Linked DNA regions of Sus scrofa. The protein of the gene in region 1 binds, or shares a complex with, the protein of each later gene. Links are inferred from orthologs where the notes say so. Each region holds a gene or a part of one and is shown on either strand. Other genes may lie near its edges.

What was found. Proteins that work in one complex are often made in the same cells at the same time.
Region 2: GEMIN5 (region 1) and STRAP share a complex: the UniProt entries of both Homo sapiens proteins name them as parts of the SMN-Sm complex. The link is inferred for Sus scrofa from reciprocal best matches to the Homo sapiens genes GEMIN5 and STRAP.

Annotation. Positions count from the first base shown.
Region 1 is NC_010458.4:68,317,204-68,320,721, forward strand, and holds part of GEMIN5 (gem-associated protein 5), read left to right. Parts: intron 1-88; coding exon 89-208; intron 209-713; coding exon 714-924; intron 925-2,644; coding exon 2,645-2,899; intron 2,900-3,518. UniProt on the Homo sapiens protein: The SMN complex catalyzes the assembly of small nuclear ribonucleoproteins (snRNPs), the building blocks of the spliceosome, and thereby plays an important role in the splicing of cellular pre-mRNAs.
Region 2 is NC_010447.5:56,719,881-56,723,398, forward strand, and holds part of STRAP (serine-threonine kinase receptor-associated protein), read right to left. Parts: intron 1,049-3,518; coding exon 912-1,048; intron 1-911. UniProt on the Homo sapiens protein: The SMN complex catalyzes the assembly of small nuclear ribonucleoproteins (snRNPs), the building blocks of the spliceosome, and thereby plays an important role in the splicing of cellular pre-mRNAs.

The DNA of each region.
Region 1 (3,518 bases):
AGACAGTTTATCCTGCCCTGCAGCCCTTCTGAGGGTCTCTTACAGAGGAGCCTTTTCAGATTGGCTAATTGCCTATTCTTGCCTCTAGGGAGGCCATTGCCATTGCCAAGGCCCGGCTGCGCCCAGAGGACCCAATCCTGAGAGACCTGTACCTCAGCTGGGGAGCCATCCTAGAAAAAGACGGTCATTATGCCTTAGCAGCCAAATGGTAAGTCTGAGGCAAAGAGGAGGGCGCCCAAAAAGAAGAGGTTCCACAGAGAGCAGGACAAGAATGGAAGCGAGGAGTTTAGAGGTGGGGTAAGGTGACCAGCAAATTAAAAAGCATATGTGTGTTAAACCCAGCTTCATAAGACTCATCAAGGTCTACCTACTTGGCATTTATATAAATGACCATAACTGTCCAAGAAATTACACCTTTCTTTGGGGATGTCTTCTATCATTAAGTGTGGAAAATGAGAGGGAATGACTTCTTTGCTTATGCTCAACTTGGCAACTGTTGAGGTTTCTTTTATCTCCTTAACCTGTATTATGCTGCCTCATTCCCTTCTGCGCTGGCCTCAGGCTTCACAGGGACAGCCACAGGCAGTGCCACAACCGGGACCACGGCAAAGCACGCTAGCAAAGTGGACAGAAAGAAATGATTCAACCCGCTATGAAGCAGGAGTAAGAGATCTGTCTATGACCCTTGGCTTGAGTTTTCTTTTGTATTTCAGCTATTTAGGGGCCACTTCGGCTTATGACGCAGCCAAAGTCTTGGCCAAAAAGGGGGACGCGGCATCACTTAGAACCGCTGCAGAGTTGGCTTCCATCGTAGGAGAGAGTGAGTTGTCTGCTTCCCTGGCTCTCAGATGTGCCCAAGAGCTGCTTATGGCCAGGAACTGGGTGGGAGCCCAGGAAGCCCTGCAGCTCCACGAAAGTCTCAAGGTCAGTCTGTTACTGCCTCTCCTGCTTTTAAGAGGGAAGAGCCCCAAGTCCTTTTCTAGTCAGAGTCTGAGTGAATTACCCAATTGGACAAGCTGTACCAATTTGGCAGCTATCCCCAGAAGCGTCCAGCAAGTCCTGGCCATGCAGCGCCCCTTTAAGAACTGTGGCTTCTCCCTTACCCGACTCAGAGAAAGGGATAATGTGGTCCCTGAAAGGTATCGCCATTGCTTAGCAGCTCAGCCTCTCTGGGCTGGCAGTCTGGCCTCCCGTCATTGATGTCATCAGCACATCAGTGAAGAGAGAGGCTGGCTGGTGCTCTGCCCAAAGCAGCCCTCTTCAACTGTAAGCTGTAACGAATTGGGGGAAATCAAACCATTGTGTTAAGTATTCTGTTCCATCTGGTTAAAAATGAGTAACTTAAATAACCACTGTCCTTTTTGACACATCAAAATTCAGATTGTTTTAAAAGCATCAGCACACTCATCTAGGTTTTTTTTTTGTCTTTTTGCCATTTCTTGGGCCGCTCCCGCGGCATATGGGAGGGTTCCCAGGCTAGGGGTCTAATCGGAGCTGTAGCTGCCAGCCTACGCCAGAGCCACAACAACTCGGGATCCAAGACGTGTCTGCAATCTACACCACAGCTCACGGCAACGCCGGATCGTTAACCCACGGGGCAAGGGCAGGGATCGAACCCGCAACCTCATGGTTCCTAGTCGGATTCGTTAACCACTGCGCCACGATGGGAACTCCCTCACCTAGTTTTTAAAACATGTAAACATCTGGTCCATTTTAGACAGCTTTGCTTGTCAGGCAATATGTGAATTTCTTCAGTTCCTCTTTCCCTTCAGTACTCAGCCTAAAGACCCGAGTTCCTAGCTGAATATTCCTTACCCAAGAAAAATGTTAGGCGAGGCGTAGCTTTCTGGGAACTGCAAAATAAAAAATGGAGGTAAAAGTAGAACACCCTCAAAGGATAGTGTCGGTTAGTATATTATTTATAAAGTGACCAAATTTAGAGAGATAACCATAACAAAAAAAAGTTTCCAGAGTGGTTATTTGGCACTTCTTTTTTTTCTCCCCTAAAATGGCAACCTTAATAAAGCAAAAAAACCTAAGTTTATGCTAAACATTGTTCTGCTAAGGGCTGTTTTGGCTATAAGAACAAAGACCTTCCCAAGCTTAACTGAGAAAATATTATGGGGGTACACAAGGAATCTCATGGCAACTGAAAATCCAGTAAAAATAAGTATTTCTCCAGGCCTTTTCTCTGCTTTTGTTCTCTTCTAGTTGACTCCCTCGGTTAAACCTCCTTGGACATGGCCCCTAACCACTGCCCCGGCCCTTAGAGCTACACAACTTGTCTGTTCCAGCACCTTCTGCCTGTTAAGCTTTAACTTCTGTATTCCTTAATCTGAGGTTTGGGCAAGGGGAAAAAACTGGATGAGTCCACCCCCTCTTGGCTCAAACTGGGCCACAAGTCGTAGGTAGCTGGGCTGCATGTGGCTTAAGTTTCGGTGAATAGGGCTATAGTTGGGATTTCATGTTGTAAATATGGTTGCTTAAGCTCCAAGGGCTCTGGGTAGGAATCTTTCAAAAGGCATCTGGAAAAATTGTCTGTGGTTGCTCAAATGCAAAGAGGGAGACTGAGAGACTGGAGAAATCTCCAGATAACTGAGCACTTCCCTGCCTGACAGTTCCTCTCCTTTGTTGTTGGTTCCAGGGTCAGAGATTGGTGTTCTGCCTTCTGGAGCTGCTGTCCAAGCAGCTAGAGGAAAAGCAGCTTTCGGAGGGCAAAAGCGCCTCCTCCTCTTACAATGCTTGGCCCTCGGGCAGCGAAGGGTGCTTCGTGGAAAGGGTGACCGCAGTATGGAAGAGCGCCTTCAGCCTCGACTCCCCAGAGCAGTACCAGGCAGCCCTTCAGCAGCTGCAAAATATCAAGTACCCATCTGCTACCAATAACACCCCCTCCAAACAGGTACCCCTGCACGTGAGCTTTTGATACTAACCTCTCAGGAGTAAGACTTCTTTAATCCACGTCTAGTACAACAAGGCAACATGTAAAATGCCAGTTTGCATTCTACAAAAAAAAAAAACTGGGGGAAAAACTGTAATTGCAATGTATACATGTAAGGATAACCTGACCCCCTTGCTGTACAGTGGGAAAATAAAAAATAAAAAAAAAAAAAACTAAGGCAAGCCCAAGAAACCTTGGAGAGATCCCTTCAGACTAATTAAAACCCTTTATTTTGGAAGTTAGTCTTAGAGCTGTATTCCCTTTTAAAAGAAAAAAAAAAAAAAGTCTAAAAATGAAGAGGAATACAATGAATAAGTACCTATCAATTAGAATTAACAGATGTTCACATTTTGTCATTTTTGCTTCATGGAGTTTTTTAGTTTTGTTTTGTATATTCTTTTTGTCTTTGGTAAAAGAAACAAAATCAGCTTGAAGTCCCTCATGTTCCCTTGCCCAGTTTCGTTCCCTTTCCCTGGCTTACCAAAAACAGCCCTTGCGTCAGACCATGTGCATTATTATGTGGCTTGTTTATGTGACCCCTGTCTGTAAAACTTGTCCATGTTTTTGCACAGAGAATAGG
Region 2 (3,518 bases), on another chromosome or scaffold:
TAAGGATCCAGCATTGCTGCAGCTGCAGCTTGGGTCGTGACTGTGCCTTGATCTGATCCCCAGCCTGGGAAAGTCCGTGTGCTGTGGGGCGGTCCAGGAAAGGAAAATACCCTCTAAAATCTATAGAATCTAAAGTCTATCGATTGCCCATTTCCAAATCCTCAACTATTTACCAGGGAACCAATTCTTATTATGACTACAGACAGCCACCAGATGGAGCTATCTGACACACTCTGCATCTTAATTTCCTATCAGACTATCTAGGGTCTACTAGTCATTCCATCCCACAGAGAACATTGAGATCCAGGATCAATGCTGATGCTCATATGGAGTTTAATGAGAAAATGTACAGTTCAGCAGTGGTGTGGTTCTGCTTAAGGCATATCCTTATTTATAAACCTTTTTTCTTTTACTTTCTAATACCTCATCACCTTATCAATTTCCAAAGCTCTTTACTACAGCAATGTTCCCTGCTCAGTCTCCATGTCTATTCAACTTAAGGACACTCATGCACTCTCTCCTCCTAGACAATATCATGAGCGTGTTATCATGAGTGTAAAAAATTATGTGTAGAAAGAATATTAGGTTTTGAAATAAGAATGGCTGGCTGGGTCCAAGTTCAGTTTCACTAATTGTGACCACAAATATCAGGCAAATAATTTACTTCTCTTCTTTAACATGCGGCCAAAACATTCTAAAACTCTGAAAAGTGACATTAAATAATCAGAAAGAATCTCTTATTTAAAAGTCACTTAATTCAAGCGATAAATGGTGAACCATAAACAATTAAACAGATTCTATTTGGTCTATAATATTGCACTTACCCAACCCAAAGCCATCAGTTTTCCCCCCAAAAAAAACCAAAATGTAAAAAGATCATCACTTTAAGGGAGTAAAAGAGGACAACTCACCTAATTCTTCTCCACTATTATAATCATACTTATAAAGTTTAAAATCTTCACCACCTGCAACAAGAAATTCTTTCTCAGGATGAAGAGATGCAGAATTGATGGTTGCAGGAGCTTCAAAGGATTTAATTGGGTCCAAACTAGAAAAAAATTTAAATATTTCTATCAGGCTATAAAACAATAACTAAAACTGGAACTATAGCTACATACTAAAAATCAATGCATAACAATAGCTCCACTTGAGTAACAACGAGTTGGGACACTGGGTCTATTCCAATCCAACCCTAAAAATCCTGAAAGGTGGAGTTTCCGTTGTGGTGCAGCAGAAATGAATCTGACTAGGAACTGTGAGGTTGTAGATTTGATCCCTGGCCTTGCTCAGTGGATTAAGGATCCGGTGTTGCCGTGAGCTGTGGTGTAGGTTGCAGATGCGGCTCCGATCTGGTGTCCCTGTGGCTGTGGTGTAGGCTGGCAGGTATAGCTCCAATTTGTCCCCTAGCCTGCTGATCTCCATATGCCACAGGTATGGCCCCCCAAAAAAAAAAAAAAAAAAAACAAACCTGAAAGGTCTCTAACACAAAACGCGAGAGCATTCCAGTTCCTATATGCTGCCATCCTATTCCCATCAACACACACTACAAAGCTTGAAAATTAAAGTTAGATATAACTTATGAAGGATCACTAAAAAGCAACTTTCTGGGTCAAATATTTAATAGGCGAGCAAATCTCTGCCACCAAAATGAGATTTGAGGCATTGTTCTATAGGAGGGCTGCATAGGGCCCAAATCCAGAAGCAATGAACACAGCTGTTATAACCAAATGGTTCTGGACAATAACATTCCATTATTATCATTGTATGTGTATGAACCTCTTTACATTCTTAATTGCTCTTCTCCCTTTTGATTGCCTTCTCTTTCCTTCCACCATTCAGGGAAGCTTAGCTCTGCAAGTGACCCTTTAGAGAAAAAGTTGGGATGCTGGTCAGAGTATAATGTAGTATATTCTTTATGGAAAATAAGTGGCATGTGTACTAAGAACTTTAAACACATTCCTACCCTTTGTTTCAAACTAGTTTATTTAGGGATTCCACTTTCACTCAATAGATTTTATATATTTCTCATACCCTTCCTCACTCATCAGTACATCTAAGTCTCAAGGTTTACTCAAGTGTCATCTTTTTTTTTTTTTTTTTTTTTTTTTTTTCCCACTGTACAGCAAGGGGGTCAGGTTATCCTTAGATGTATACATTGCAGTTACAGTTTTTTCCCCCACCCTTTCTTCTGTTGCGACATGAGTATCTAGACATAGTTCTCAATCAAGTGTCATCTTGATCAACCACCTTCATAACAGGATTTGTTTACAAGTCCTGGCTTTCCTGCAAGAGCCTCATTAATTTCAGTAATTTCTGATAGAGAACAGAGTTCACCAGCAGCTTTCACACTTTCCAAAGCACCAAACTCATCTTGTTTGTTCAATTTTGTTCCAACTTCAGGCAGAATACAGTAAACAACATCTCCCAAAGCTTCCTGTGCAAAATTGCTGATTCTCACTGTTCCAACACCTTTTTCTATTATTGTCTATCTGTGTATGCCTGTGAATTTACCCACTGGAGAGCAGAGTGCAAAGCGCGTGGCAGGCGCCCACCCAGGGTCATGATGGGTAGGGCTGGGCAGGTGACAAAGCAGCATGCAGGCTGCAGACTACTCCATCCATGACGGTCCTAACCTCTGAACTGGTAATTTGACTTACAGGATTCTCTTGGAAATACTCAGATGTACCCCTAAATCTCACTGCAGTGTTAAAATGGGGAAACTGATACATGATTTGGTATGACCTGCGAAGCAATACACCTCGTAAGGTTTTCAAAGAACTTCAATGGCTAAGAATATTTTAGAATAAAAAAATGAAAATTATACTTATTAGAGCCCTACAACTAGAGCAAAAAACCCACACAAATGTATATGCACATACAAAAAGGCAAAAAGACCAGCAAATATATAGCTACCACTAACTTTCTGCTATCTATGACTATAGTACTGTGGGTAAAATTTTCAAAATTATATTTTTTCTAATTTTCAGCAAAAACATTGAATACATTTATAATCACAAAAATTAAGTCTTTTTAAAAAGACCATTAGGGAGTTCACATCGAGGATCAGCAGTAATGAACCTGACTAGGATCCATGAGGATTCAGGTTTGAGCCTTGGCCTTGCTCAGTGGGTTAAGGATCTGGCATTGCCGTGAGCTGTGGTGTAGGTCACAGAAGCAGCTTGGATTCCATGTTGCTGTGGCTGTGATGTAGGCTGGCAGCTGCAGCTCCAATTCGACCTCTAGCCTGGGAACTTCCAAGTGTTACAGGTGCAGCACTAAAAAAGACAAACAATGAAATGAAATAAAATAAAATAAAATAAGAATTGAAATAAAAAGACCATTAGGTCTATACTATACTTGGAACGGGGGGGGAAAAAATCACAATTTCTCTGAAATTTTAAAGTGAAATAGCAGAATCAAGATCATAGCGGTTTTACACAGTAATGAACAACATTAATTATAGCACCAGTCCAGTGATCCTTTCAAGAAAATTATAAATTGAAAGTTGTTAAATTTTA